Linked DNA regions of Coturnix japonica. The protein of the gene in region 1 binds, or shares a complex with, the protein of each later gene. Links are inferred from orthologs where the notes say so. Each region holds a gene or a part of one and is shown in the gene's direction. Other genes may lie near its edges. The genes, in order: LRRK2, SFN and RAB29.

Region 1 (4,216 bases):
AGGAAATGAAATTGTCAGGAACAAGTAACATTAGGGAAAGCAGCAGTGTTGCTGAGTCTGTTGTCAGGTGTCTGTGATTTGGAGCTGCTCTCCGAGATAAACTGAAGAGGCAGTGGAATAAGATAACTCTGATTAATTACAGGGCTAGCAATTGTTTGATGTGTAGATTTGGCATTAGAGCCAAATTCGTATGTAGAGAAAAGCAGACCAAAAGGCAGCTGGCTGCACTGAGATGAGCAGAGCAAAGTGATCTCAATCTTATTGCTGCTTTTTAGGCTGAGTCATCCTTGGTAAGTGACCTTTATGGTCTTGTGGGCCCTGCAGCAGCTGTCAGGCAGCTTCAGATATTGAAAAGGTGGTTAAAAAAAAAAAGGTGGAGTTTGCCTTGCTGTGATGTGAGTATTTGTGATTTGAGCAGATCGGTAGGAGAGATTTGGAATACATCTCCAGGGAGATCAACCTCACTGCTGTGAGAATTCACAGCAAAGTGCAGGAAGGTTTCAGCGAGCCCTTGCAATTGTATCCCAGCCCACTTGGGATTTAAGGCTGAACTATTCTCCTTAGAGTTACAGACAACTCGATTATAGTCAGGGCTTTTTTTTTTCTGCTGGATGTTTCCTGTGATTCTGACTGGAGTTCTTTTCTCTTCTAGGTTCTGTCATAACGCTTACAGTGATGCAAACATTATTTCCATAGCAGTAGATAAATCCATCTACTTGGCAAAGAAAAACAGCCATTTTGTGGAAATCTGGGACAAGAAGACGGAAAAACTTTCTGAACTAATTGACTGTGCACATTTTCTGAAGTAAGTCCTTTTTTTCCAACTGACGACCTGTTGCACAGAAAGCTGACTTAAGGTTGCCTTCTCCAGTGCACTGATATGATGTGCTTGATATATATACCTCATGTTTCTGGAGATAAGGGGCTTGCCCAGATCATTAGGAGGATTTCTTTTCTCTCTTCTGGAATTTCATTTCTCTAAGACCTTTATATATTTCACAAGCTGTGATTTCAAGAAGATTAATTTAACTCTACTGAAGAAGAAAGTCTTTTGCTGTCCTTAGCTGATCAGGTAAGATAATGATGCCTTGTGCTCAGTTTCGCTGCCTGCATCCCCTAATAAAAAATGTCCTCTCCTTACGTCAGAGTTTTAGTAGCAGTGACAGCAATTTACATTTGCCTTTAAATTGTTCCTCTTCCTTAGTGTTCTATTTCCATTTGATTTTTATGGTGACGCCTAGGAGGAGCTTTACGTGTACTCCTCCTCCTCCCACAAACTGAGGGAAAACAGAGAAGTGAAGCTGCCTCCTATTTAAAGACATTTTCCAGCACGCTGTCTGGCTCTTAGAAGTCCAGTAGTTTTCATCTCAGATTGTTTAAATTAAATCAGAATGAGCTATTTGCAGTTGTCTTGATGAACGATCATTTAAAAGGCTGGCACTGAGGGAGACGTTCTGGCAGCTATGGGATGGGTGCCACCAAAATTTAATACAATTTCTCTCCACGCTTTTAGGGATGAAGTGGAAAAACTGAACAAAGAATCAAAGCATAAAGTTGCTTATTCTGGAAGAGTGAAGACAATTTGCCTGCAGAAAAATACTGCACTGTGGGTAGGGACAGGAGGAGGACATATCCTGCTACTTGATTTATCAACACGTCGCCCTGTACGGGTTATAGATAACTTCTGTGACTCTATTCGAGTCATGCTAACAGCTCAGCTAGGTAAGTAAAGCCATCAAATGACAAGCACTTTGAAATTGGGGCCAAGATTAGGATCACTGGCTTCTGTCTGATGTGGTGTTCCAGGAACAGATTAGCATTTTCCGTGTGCTGTTCATTCATACTATTCTACTGCTGTCAACTTCACTCTGTGTCAGACAGACCAGTGTTAGATGAATACCAACAGGCTGCCATAGAAAGTAACAGCTCTCCTCTGGCTTATCACTGGTCAGCACAAGAACACACCCACCCTCACTGTATCCTTTGTGCCATGCTTTGTCATAGCTCTCACTGTCCTCTGTCCTATAGGCATTGTCTTAATCTCTGTCTGTCTGTGTTGATTCCCCATCTTAAGTTTTGTGCTTCTGGTTTCTCTCCTGGTGAAGCTCTCCTGATAGCTACAGTATTAGTGCTGTAAAGGGACTCTTATTTTTAGTGTTTTGTACAGATAGATAGAATAGTTACTATAAAAATAAGGTTTCTGCCTCGCGTTATTCTCATTGATAGGACGATTATATCCTATAAAGTAATATGGTGTGACTTAAGCCTTGAGTCTCATATGCTTGGCTTCCAGACTACATGGCATTTTTAATCAAAATTTTATTGAGAGAAAAATTAATACTTCATGAGAAATAGATTGGTTGCATTTGCACACAACTCAAGGATGGCAAGGGGCTGATCCCTGCCGTTTGATGTGTACTTTTTCCTTTTGATCATTTTCTCGCAGCAATTATTTATAAAGGCCGGGCTTTTCTCCTACATTCAAAGACTTTGTAAGCACAGAAGCCCTGGAAATGGTGCCATGGCTGCTGAACCCTTCTTCATTTTAACTTGAAAATATATAATGGCAATGTAACTATTTTCAGAAAAAAAGGGATTTTGTTGAGATATCAATTTTGTCTTCAGTTTATGTATGGATTAGTGAATGTGCCTTTTTCTAACTCTGTCACTTGACAATTCACATATGACACACAAGACATCATCCTTAGAGGACAGTTTATATGTAAGTATCTGTAGTATCTGGCGCTTTCTGCTGACCATTGGAACGGTGTTTGCAGCCTCTTCTGCCTTCACTGTGATGCCTGTTTTCTGCGAGTGCTGCCTCTGCACATGGTCAATAGCAGGGTGCTTTCTTCTTAGGCTCGTTCAGCAGGCTGAACAGCTGATCCAGGCTTTGAACTCTGGTCAACCCCTACATTAAACAGAGACATTAACTGTATTGTTTATTTTCATGTTGGTTTTTTTCCTCACGGTGGATGACTGTGAATAAAGGGCCCAAAGCAAAACTGTGGTTTCTGTCATCTTAGCAGCGTTTGTAAGATCCTCTTTCTGTCCTTCAATTACAAACCTCCCATCAAAATTAAAATCTGACCTTTTCTTTCTTTGCAAAAGGGAGCCTGAAGAACGTGGTGGTGGTTCTGGGATACTGCTACAAGAGCGACACCGAAGATGACAAATATCACAAAGGTACCTGAACTGTGCTTTATTAATTTGTATTATTAGTGAAGCAGAAACTATGACGCTCGGCCACCCTCTGAGGTGTGTTTGGAGAGCTGGCGATCAACATTTGATCTACTCTTTTGAAAATTATTATTCGTTTTTGTCATTGGTTATGTTTCTGGGCTCCATACAAACAATTCAGTTGCCTGAATTGATCGGATGAAGCTACTCTTTGGAGGGCACATAATTTTCTAGAAAACTCTATTTGGAGAATAACTGCCCATGTCTAATTGTGGAGCGTGTCAAACGGGTTTCGAGAGGGGCCTCCAGGAATACTCAGTGTTATGGTGAATGATGTGGATGAAGGAATAACGCGTCTGCTTTTCATGTTGGCAGACAGCACTTAGCTCAGAGGAGCCACGAGCACAGTGGAGGACAGGACCGGAATTCACTGCAACCTTGACAGATAGAACAAATGGTCTGGAAGGAATAGGATACAGTTCAGTAAGGACAGATGTGAGACCTCAAACGTAATTAGGAGGGATCAGCTGTACCAACAGGAGGAAATGGTCGGCTTAAGCAGTGGTGCTGAAAATAAGGTTTATTTTGATCACACGTGGAACATGAGTCAACAGCGTCATGTTCCTGCAGAAGGGACAAAAACCTTTCTTATGCCAATAGAAAAGTGGCTTCTCTAAGACATGGGAATTAATTCCTGTGCTCTGCTGAGCTCTGATAAGACCTCTGCTGCAGGAGTGCATCCATCTGGGACAATGCTGAATGATCTGAACTATTAGGAATAGTCCAGAGGAGAGAAATGCGGCCTCTGGGAAAATGCTGAAGATAAATTACTTAATATTAGGAAAGCATCCAACAGATATGATAACAGGCTTCAAATATGTAAATAAAGAGGAAGGGAATAATACTTCAACATGTTATTCCCTGTGGGCAGGATAAAGGCTAAGCAGTTTCTATTACAGCGAGGGAAATTTAGGTCACACATCAGGAAGAGCTTCCTGACAATTAGGATAGCGAGTACTGGAATAGGAAGATAAAA
Region 2 (4,360 bases), on another chromosome or scaffold:
GGATTAAGCCAGCAGCGTGTTGCCCACTGCATCCCACTCGACCCCATAGGATGGTGCACGGTCAACGCTCACCCTCCCCATGAGCTTCCCACCCCCCGGTCCATCGCTATGGGGCTCTGATGGAGGGGATGGGCCCCTTCCCCCTGTGCAAAGGGCTTTGAGCCTGGTAGGATTCTGCCTTTTACTTTTGTAACAAAATAAAGATTTTCCCATTTCCTGTCTGTCCGTGTGGTGCTGGGCTCCATCCCACATCCCTCACTGCAGCTGTGTGAGTTCATGGGTGCTCTGAGGGTGGTGGGTGGCCATTGACCCCTCCCCAGCAGGGCACAGAGCTGGGGCTCTTCCTTCACCCCCCCTTAACTCACACCAAAACCAGTAGAGCAGAATATTTCTGCAGCTCCTGCTCAGCTCTTTGCCACCAACATTTGGCAGCAGCTCGGTGCTTCTGGCAGCACCCAAACCCACGAGCTCCATGCTGTGCCCTGGGGGGGACCTGCCCCCATACACAGCCCCATTTGTGGTCTCTCCTATGGGGTAGGGGGCAGAAGTGCATTCTGTTCAAAACCACAGCCCCTGTGCATCCATGAGGTCGAGCAGTGCTCACGGGGGGTCCACTTTGAGCCCCAAACTCAACAGCCCCCACCATGTGGCTGGATGGGGACTGGGACCGCATAAGCTTGGGACCAAGAGCTGCCAGCCCTGAGCAACCCCAATGGGGAGAGGATGTCAGGGATGGGGCTGAGGGTGCTGGCACAGCGCTGGTGAAGCCCTTGGCTCCATCCCCACGTGCTGCCCGCCGCACCCTGCCCTGTGCCGGCGTGTGGGAACAGGCTGAGAGCGAAACTGCAGCGCAACGCCGAGCTCAGATCCTAATCGGGGCCGCCAGCGCTGCTGGGCAGAACTCGAATCAAAATGAGACTGACAAAAAAGAAGGAATAATAATCCCAATTCTTCCAGTACAGCGTAAAGGGAGAGAAAAGAGCCCCGGTGGGATGAGCGGAGAGGGTGGGGGACATGGGGATGGGTGGTGGAGAAGCCTTAATGGGGATCCAGTGGGGTTTGTGGGTGTGGAGCTGCCTTGGGTTTGGGGATGTCCAATGATGGTTCAATGGGGGGGTTGGGGTTGAGTACTTGCAAGTGCCAGGGCAATTCCCCCTGAGCAGGCAGGGTGGAGGAGTTGGGAATGCCCCAATCCCAATCCTGGCCCTGATCCCTGCAGCAGTGCTGGGGTAACGTGCTGCTCCTCCTGCCTCGATTTCCCCACCAGTGGGAATAAATACCAGCCCTTCAAGCCCTTGCAATCACCGACAAGTTAATCATCATATAAAAATGACAGCGATGGGATTTTTGGGGAGGAGACCATTTTTACAGCCAGGTTTATTCCCCGTGCTGTTTCTCTAAGGGTGGTTGGGATGGGGGCACTGGGTGCTGCCGCTTTCCTGCTTCACCCCAATGTGACGACCCCACTGCTCCCTGTTCTGAGCACTCCTGGCAGATGGGGAAGGGTTCCCCCATTGGTCCATGGTCCCCCATTGATCTGGGATCTCCATTGATTCCTGGTCTCCCATTTATTTGGGGTCCCCCATTGATCCGGTTTCCCCCATTAACTCAGGGTCCCCCATTGATCTGGGGATCCCATTGACTGATCCCAAGTCTTCCAAGTATTTGGGGTTTCCCATTGATTTCGGGATCCCACTGATTCCAGGTCTCCCGTGGGTCTGGGTATCCCATTGATCCAGGCTCTCCCACTGGTTCAGGCTCCCCCACTGATCTGGAGTCCCCACTGATTCTAGGTCTCCCATTCATTTGGGGTTTCCCATTGATCCGGGGTCCCCAGTTGATCTTCCCTCCTCCATTGTTTCAGAGTCTCCCACTGACATAGGATGTCCCATTGATCCAGACTTCTCCATTGATCCAGTGGGACATCCCATTGACACAGGGGGGGCTCACCATGAACTCCCTGAACACATCCTCTCCCTCCCGGCACCCACCTGATCCAGGGCAGGGTGGGTGCCACCCGCTCACCCCTTCCCCATCACCCTGTGCCTCGGGGCATGATGACTCACGGCAATTTGCTTTTTAAGGGCGGGCTCTGCGGGGAGGAAGCAGAGGAGGAGGAGGCCGCTCCTTCAGCCTCGTTGGCTCCTCCTGCTCTTGCTCGGGGCTCCGACGCTCAGCCAAAAGCGAATCGGGGCGGTGAAGCTCAGCAGAGGCTCCGACGGCTCCCGGCCCCACTCCTCGTCTCATCCTGCTCCTCATCCGCCCTCAGCCATGGCAAGAAACCACCAAGTGCAGAAAGCCAAGCTGGCCGAGCAGGCTGAGCGCTATGAGGACATGGCGGACTTCATGAAGGCGGTGGTGGAGCATGGAGACGAGCTGTCCAACGAGGAGCGCAACCTCCTCTCCGTCGCCTATAAGAACGTGGTGGGCTGCCAGCGCTCGGCGTGGAGGGTCATCTCCAGCATCGAGCACAAAACCGAGGAGGGAGACGACAAAGCGCAGCTGGTGAATGAATACAGGGAGAAGGTGGAAGAGGAGCTGAAGGGCGTCTGCAACGTGGTGCTGGGCTTGCTGGAGAAGCACCTCATCAAGAAGGCCGGAGATGCAGAGAGCAAAGTGTTCTACCTGAAGATGAAGGGAGACTATTACCGATACCTGGCTGAGGTGGCCTCCGGCAACGACCGCAAGGAGACGATCGACAGCGCCCAGAAGGCGTACCAAGAGGCCATGGACATCAGCAAAAAGGAGATGCAGCCCACGAACCCCATCCGCCTGGGGCTGGCCCTCAACTTCTCCGTCTTCCACTACGAGATCGCCAACGCCCCCGAGCAGGCCATCTCGCTGGCCAAGACCACCTTCGACGAGGCCATGGGGGACCTGCACACGCTCAGCGAAGACTCCTACAAGGACAGCACCCTCATCATGCAGCTGCTCAGGGACAACCTGACGCTATGGACAGCCGAGTGCGCGGGTGAAGACGGCGGCGAGGCTGGCGAAGAGCCCAAGAACTGAACGGCCCCCAATGCAGCTGGGGTCCATCCCCCACCTCCTTCCTCCTCCCCTCCCTCCCAGACTCCCCCCCCTTTCCCCTTCCCCTTCCCGAAGCCCTTCGGTGTCTTTTCCTTTTGTTTTGTTCCTTTTTTAAGGAGTGGGGAAGGTATTTCGCCCCCCCACCCTTACCCCCCCTCCAGTTCTGGGAGTGGGGTCCATATGTTTGCCCTTTGGCAGGGCCTCCCCTTTCCTTCTCCCCCCCCCCATGTTCTTGTCATGCTCCCCTCACCCCTTTAACACTTTGTTTGGGGGATACCCCAGCGTAGCTTAGGGGGGGCCCTAGCCCTCTGTCTTGGGGGGCTAGAGCCGTGCCGCTGGTCCCTTGGGGGCAATGGGAGGAGGTGATGGGACGGGATGGGGAGAAAGGGGAGGGGGGGGGTTGATGTGCCCCCCACCCGGATGGAGGATTGCGAATTGCCGAAGCCTCTGTGTGGCTCCAATAAACCATCTCGTGCACGTCTGCCTCTGTGGTCGCCTCATCTCTCCTGTCGTGCACAAGCCCAGGCAGCTCCTGCAGCTCCCACAGCCGGTCCCATTGCGTGCCACGCCATGCTGGGGAGCACTCGGGGCCTCCAAAGTGCAGGTCTGGCTGCCTGCAGCCCCTCCCAGCCCCGCCATGGGGTGTGGGGGTACTCAGCCAGCCCCAGACCTCAGGGACGGGTCTCAGAATGGGCTTTCTAGGTGGGTTTTCCATAGGGAGAGTATGTCCCAGGTCTCCAGCCCTGCAATTGTATGTCCCCATTCCCATGGTGTCTCCATCCCTTTGGTTTTCCCATTCTTGTACTGTCCTCATCCCCAAGATGTTCCTATGGTGTCCCCACCCCCATAGTATTTCCATCCCCGTAGGGTTTCCATCCCCATGGTGTCCCCATTCCATAGTGTCCCCATCCTCATAGTGTCCCTATCCTCATTATGTTTCCACCCTTATGGTCTTCCCATCCCTATGATGTCCCCATCCCTACAATGTCCCCATCCCCATCTTGATGTCCCCACCTCCATGATATCTCCATCCCCATGGTGTCCCCACCCAAACCACGCAACCCACAGTGTCCCAAACCCCATTACTGGGGCTCCGTGCAGACAGGGGGATGTTTCAGCTCTTCCCCTCCAGCACTGACACGGAGCTGTCACAGGGGAGGTGACAGCATCCCACCGAGGTGAGGACATCCCCATGGAGGTGTGGATGTGCCGGCGCTGGAGAAAGCTCAGCACTTCTGGCCCTGGCTCTCAGCCACAGCGAAGGGTGCAGCTCTGGGAGCGCGAGTTTCAACACGAACAGTTAATTACACTGAAATCCAGTCCTGGCAGC
Region 3 (5,367 bases), on another chromosome or scaffold:
CCCCGGGGGGATTCTCATGCAGCAGCATAATGAGAGAAAACCAGTTCTGGTTGTGTGACTGAGGCGTTTGTAATACAATCACCTTCCTGGGTGCTGTCAGAGCTTTTTACTTTTCCCATTTGGATATAAATCAATTCAGTGAGCTGAGCACAGTTTATTTAAGCGAGTCTTATTGACTTGGAAGCTTCACTCAATGATGTGCTCAGCAGGCTCTGATGCAAACTGCATGCATGGGAGAGAGCTCCTAATGTTGGTAGGGGTGGGGATCATAGTGTCCCATGGGACCCAGTTTTGGTGCTGCAGTGCCCAAAGCACAGGGAGATGCCCTTAAAGGACCAGAGCTCACACTGCAGCCCTGTGCCTTTTGTGCTGCTGCATTTCCTCTTTGCCTGCAGATCCAGGGCCATCACCTGAGAGCTGCAGGATCTGGGGTCACCTACAGGCTGCTGCTTTTCTTCTTCTGTCTTGAATGGCTTCAGTTCCTCCCTTAGGTTACCTTCAGCATTTCTGGCACAAAGAGGCAATGCTCCCCTCCTCACCTTGCTGATGTGAGGCTCGCCTTCCCCCTCTCCATCTCTGTGCTGTCCCCTTAGTGGCAGTAGCTCTGACCCTCCTTCTGTCTCCTGTAGTTGACTTTGGCTGCTCGCAGGTCTGATTCAGCCACAGCTCTGCACGAAAACACAAAGGAAAACCAAAACATCAGAACAACCAACCAAACTCATACCCCAAAGCAAGAAGTCTGAGCCTGGGGGCTCCTCCAGCATCCTCTGCTCTCACCTCCTATCCCTGCCTGATGCTGAGGGGTGGGATGTGAGATTTCCTTCTGCTGCCATGTTTGTGTATGGCCGTGCCATTACTGCTCTGTGCTGTGATGCCAGGGTTTGGTTCCCTGAGAAAGCAGTGGTGTCAGAGGGAGGATCTCCCATGGTCTCCTATGGGTGCTGAGGTGCTGTGGGGTGAATGGGATGGGGCAGGATCTCATTTAGCATCTCAGCACATGGACAGCCAAAAGCTTTACCCATCACTTGCACTCGGTTGCACAGCCCACCTTACAGCTGACTGCAAATGAGAAACGCCGGGTTGAGCTCTCTTTGTATTAAAGAAAAAACAAAGCAAAGACTTGTCTTAATTATTTATAGCTACTGTAACTGGATTGACGGATGTCAACTGCTGATAAATTATATTTCCTTAAATAAAGATGACATTTATTTATGCGGACTTGGGTGCCCTTCTTTCTTCCATCTCAGGAGCAGCTTAGAAGCACACAGTTTTGCAGCACTGATAACAGCCCTGGGGGGGGGAGGGGGGGGGTTGGTTCTGTGCTCCTATGGACTGAATGGGAGCAGCATAGAGCTGTGTATGGGGGGGTCAGGAAGCAATAAGGGCTGTCCTATGGGGGTGGTTAGACAGTAGGGCAGGCTTGGTGGGATGCCCTCTGTGCCGTTCCATTCTGTGCTATTCTATCCCGTTCTATTCTATCCTGTCGTCTCCCGTTCTGTTCCATGCGGCTCTATTCCATTCTGTCCCGTTCTATTCCATCCCATTCCGTTCTGTCCCGTTCTATTCCACCCCATTCCGTTCTATTCCGATCTTTCCCCGCCCCAACAAGCTCCGGAACTGCGCTGTTCCGCCTGACCATCACGTGATCGCTGCACCCGAGGGTGGGGGGAGGGAGGAGGGGGTGGGTTTTGGGGGGGGGGGGGATAGAAAGATGGGGCAGAGGGACCGAATGTTTAAAGTGCTGGTGGTCGGGGATGCTACGGTGGGTAAAACATCGCTGGTGCAGCGCTACGCCAACGACAGCTTCAACCGGCACTACAAATCTACTGTGGGAGGTGAGCACAGCCTTGAGGGGGGGGTTGGGATGGGTGAGCTCGGTGGTTCCTTGTGTAACGTGGATGTAAATGAAGCTGTAAAGAGTTGGGGGGGGGGGGGGTTCTGATGATTTAATCCTTAAAGGAGTTTCTTTTCCTATGGGGGTTCACAGTGGACTTTGCACTGAAGGTGGTCCAGTGGTCTGAGTCGGAGACGGTGCGGCTTCAGCTGTGGGACATTGCAGGTATGTTCATATAGAGCCCTAAAGTGCATCCAGGTGGGGATGAGGCTCCATCCATCCATGTGTTGGGATGGGTGGGATTTTAGGGTGCAGAGCAGGTTGGGATGCAGGGCTTTGGGTTTGGGTGTCTGGGATCTTCATAAAGAAAACAGGAAGGAGAAGTTTGCAGGGAAGGGATTGCAGCAAAGAAGCAGATTTCAGTTTCAGTGCTGAGAAGTGCATTAAAAATCAAAGGGTCCTGAAAAGATATTTGGGAAGATAAAGCAGAATCCCTCACCCCATGCAGTGCTCAGTGGGGGCTGCATAAATGCTTTCTCATTATGGTGCACCTCTGTTTCCTAAATGGAGTTTGGAGCTGAGGAAGCAAAGTCCTGCTGTGGGCACTTATTTGGTTGAGTAAGTCTTAAAAATGGGAACTTAAAAATGGGGATTTTTGTCTTTTTTTTGATCCTGAAGGGCAGGAACGCTTCACATCCATGACCCGGCTGTACTACAGGGAGGCATCAGCCTGTATCATCATGTTTGATGTCACCAATGTCAGCACCTTCAGCAACAGCCAGAAGTGGAAGCAGGACTTGGACAGCAAGCTGACGCTTCCAGATGGGAGCCCTGTGCCGTGCCTGCTGCTGGCCAACAAGGTGAGCACAGACAGGGCCACCAACCTCACACTGAATACCAGCCCAGGGCCCCATCCAACATGGCCTTGAACACCTCCAGAAGAACCTTGCCCTGAGAGCTCTGTGTCAGGTTGGGATTGAGGAGATTCAAAGCTCTCCTCCTACTGCCCAACACTGCCCAACAGTTCCCCTCCCAGCTTGGGAATGGAAAGGTTGAGCCTCACCTGGCTGACTCCTGTTTTACAGTGTGACCTTTCCCCGTGGGCAGTGACAAGAGAAGAAGTGGATCGTTTCAGCAAAGAAAATGGCTTTTCTGGTTGGGTGGAAACATCCGTCAAGGAGAACAAGAACATTAACGAGTCTATGAGGTAGGAACAGCAATTGGGGCACACTGCAAGAGTTAATTCCCTCCTTCAGACAGTGCTGGCTGAGGTAAGGGGAGATGCTGTCATCAAGTAACAGATAGCAGCAATAACATGCAAGTGAATCTCCTGAAGGGAAACTGAATTCAGAGAGGTCAGACGCTGTGCTGCCCTTGGTCAAGCAGCTTGTACCCAGGAAGCTGATCCTCTGCTCCTTAAAGCTCTGGAGTTTTGTGTCCAACCAGGAGTTGTTGCTTTGGTTCTGTTGTTGTTCTGTTTTGTTTTGTTCTTCTCTGTGCTCCAATGCCCTAATTCACATCTATTTGTCTTCCAGAGTCCTGATTGAGAAGATGATGTCCTCATCCACTGGTGATGGAAGTTCTGCTTCTTCCTGGAGGGGGGATTATATTAATATCAAAGAGACGTCCCCGCCGGGCTGGGCGTGCTGCTGATGCACTGACTGCTCCATCTGCTTCTGTTTTCTACCCCTTTTTTTGTCTGTTTTCAAAGATAGTGAACTGTCCTCTCTTTACATTCATACTCACTAAGCATTGCTGCAATGGCTTGGAAGGAGGAATGGAAAGAGTGAGGAAAGGAGCCCTCTTTCTTCCAGCACAGCAGCAGTGGGAGCACGGCACAGTCTGTGCTCAAGCACATGGCTGGGATTCATCTTTTAAAACACTGAGCACTTTTCTTCATCTTCTCCTATATGACAGCCTGTGTCATGCAGGGTGAAGGACGTGGAACGTGTATTTTTAATGCTGTTGCACCTTTGGTACCTTTTATCCCCCAAGACCTGCACCTGATCCACAGAGGCAACCATTCCAGAGTGCTGCAGTAACCCTCATTTGATGCGCATGAAGTTGAATCGTTCTCTCTGCTCCTGTGGGTTCCTGGGGTGAGATTACAGCAAACCCTTCATTTTGTGCTCTGGAACTTTACACCTCTGTCTGCCTGTTGCTGGAGACCAACACATCTCAGCACTGTCATCCCATGTCCTTAAGGTGTGGATCTGAGATGGAGCACAGCCCTAAATCATGTGTGTGCTGACTGCGGAGTTGTCAGCGTTGCCCAGTTGCCTTCTGTTCCTTCACTCTTACCCTCTGTCTAGCACAATCCCATGTGTTCTCTTCCACTGCTGCTTTATTAGGACACTGGGAGCTGAATGAGGAATGGGTTGTAAACTCCTTTGTGTGCCAGAACAACAGTTCCTTTCACTTTTAGCACACCCTGCGTCCTACCATCTCACTAAGCTTTGCAATTGCTGCTGCATCACCTTCCCACCATTACAGTGCAGTGACTTTGGTGGCAGGCTTTGGTGCTGGAAGCCCACTGCTGGTTTAGTGCTTTAAGGGGCAAGCAAAGACTTTGCAGGGCAAAAGGAAATGAAGAAATCTGCTCCCCAGCTGCTTTTTTTGTGCCTGCTTTTCCTAATGTATCCCCCAGGTGTGCCTAGCTATGAATGGCTCTTGCCAACCACAAACTGTAAGAACACATTAGAGTTATCTTGGAGGAGCTATAAGGAAGGCCAGTCTGGAAGGCTGCAGTTATGCAGCACTGTGGGCTCTTGTCATCATCCTGCTGTGCTATAGAGTTGTGTCCTGCCTGTGTTGAGGTTAGGGTTTAAACAAGTGCTCTTCAATGATGTTTTCTCTCATAGTTTACATCTCTGTGTGCCAAAAGATTAAAAGGCAGAAAAACTTTCCCTTAAGAACATCCATCATCTGTGGATGCAGAGTAAGAACAAGAACTGATTGCCTTTTGTTATCTGGGGTTGAGAAAGATAAGCTGTGAGGAAGGGCTACAAAACCTCGGCCTATGTTATGTTCCAAATATCCAGGCTAAGATTCTGTTGTGTAAATATTGCCAAATTCAGCCTTATAAGCACTTAAATATACCTTTCCCTGTGCCTTCGGGTTAACTGGAGAAACACACGAAGTGTGTAGGGGTGGTTAGGAGCAAAATTGAACTGTCTTGTTGTGTTTTAATTCCTAAACATGGCAGGGAAAAGAGAAAAAAGGGTCTGATTTTTAGAAGGATCTGTCATGAAACTGTAAAGACTTGTGTATTATTTATTGATTGCTGTCTAATTGAGCAAAGGCCAGGAGTTAGACCTGCCCATACAGGTGAAGGGGATGAGGCTTGCAGTGGAGGTCCCTGCCCAGGACCAACTAATGCAGCCACGAAAGCTTGGAACTGAGCAAGAACTGCACAGCTGTGGTTTCCATGGCCTGTACTTTCCATGGCCATACTTTCTGTACATCACTTGGATACGTACCAGTGCCTTTTTAGTATCCGGACCTCTTGATTTTCCCTAAGTGCCTCTTAGAAA

Evidence for each region.
Region 2: the proteins of LRRK2 (region 1) and SFN are in contact, whole or in part, in a crystal structure (PDB 5MYC), measured with the Homo sapiens proteins. The link is inferred for Coturnix japonica from reciprocal best matches to the Homo sapiens genes LRRK2 and SFN. Residues at the interface, in NP_940980.4 of Homo sapiens: Lys907, Ser908, Asn909, Ser910, Ile911, Ser912, Val913, Gly914, Glu915, Phe916, Tyr917, Arg918; in NP_006133.1 of Homo sapiens: Lys11, Glu14, Glu39, Asn42, Leu43, Ser45, Val46, Lys49, Asn50, Arg56, Arg60, Phe119, Lys122, Arg129, Tyr130, Pro167, Ile168, Gly171, Leu174, Asn175, Val178, Tyr181, Glu182, Asp215, Leu218, Ile219, Leu222, Asp225, Asn226, Leu229.
Region 3: the proteins of LRRK2 (region 1) and RAB29 are in contact, whole or in part, in a cryo-EM structure (PDB 8FO2), measured with the Homo sapiens proteins. The link is inferred for Coturnix japonica from reciprocal best matches to the Homo sapiens genes LRRK2 and RAB29. Residues at the interface, in NP_940980.4 of Homo sapiens: Arg361, Lys362, Arg399, Met402, Leu403, Leu406, Met407, His408, Leu437, Ser438, Lys439, Gly440, His442, Leu443, Asn444, Glu447; in NP_001129134.1 of Homo sapiens: Leu7, Val42, Asp43, Phe44, Ala45, Leu46, Arg58, Gln60, Trp62, Leu76, Tyr77.

Annotation. Positions count from the first base shown.
Region 1 is NC_029516.1:13,457,022-13,461,237, reverse strand, and holds part of LRRK2 (leucine-rich repeat serine/threonine-protein kinase 2), read left to right. Parts: intron 1-652; coding exon 653-805; intron 806-1,513; coding exon 1,514-1,722; intron 1,723-3,111; coding exon 3,112-3,186; intron 3,187-4,216. UniProt on the Homo sapiens protein: Serine/threonine-protein kinase which phosphorylates a broad range of proteins involved in multiple processes such as neuronal plasticity, innate immunity, autophagy, and vesicle trafficking.
Region 2 is NC_029538.1:1,604,484-1,608,843, forward strand, and holds SFN (14-3-3 protein sigma), read left to right. Parts: upstream 1-2,118; 5' UTR 2,119-2,271; coding exon 2,272-3,012; 3' UTR 3,013-3,511; downstream 3,512-4,360. UniProt on the Homo sapiens protein: Adapter protein implicated in the regulation of a large spectrum of both general and specialized signaling pathways. Binds to a large number of partners, usually by recognition of a phosphoserine or phosphothreonine motif.
Region 3 is NC_029541.1:2,557,581-2,562,947, reverse strand, and holds the start of RAB29 (ras-related protein Rab-7L1), read left to right. Parts: upstream 1-1,687; 5' UTR 1,688-1,711; coding exon 1,712-1,835; intron 1,836-1,987; coding exon 1,988-2,059; intron 2,060-2,512; coding exon 2,513-2,694; intron 2,695-2,919; coding exon 2,920-3,041; intron 3,042-3,369; coding exon 3,370-3,487; 3' UTR 3,488-5,367. UniProt on the Homo sapiens protein: The small GTPases Rab are key regulators in vesicle trafficking. Essential for maintaining the integrity of the endosome-trans-Golgi network structure.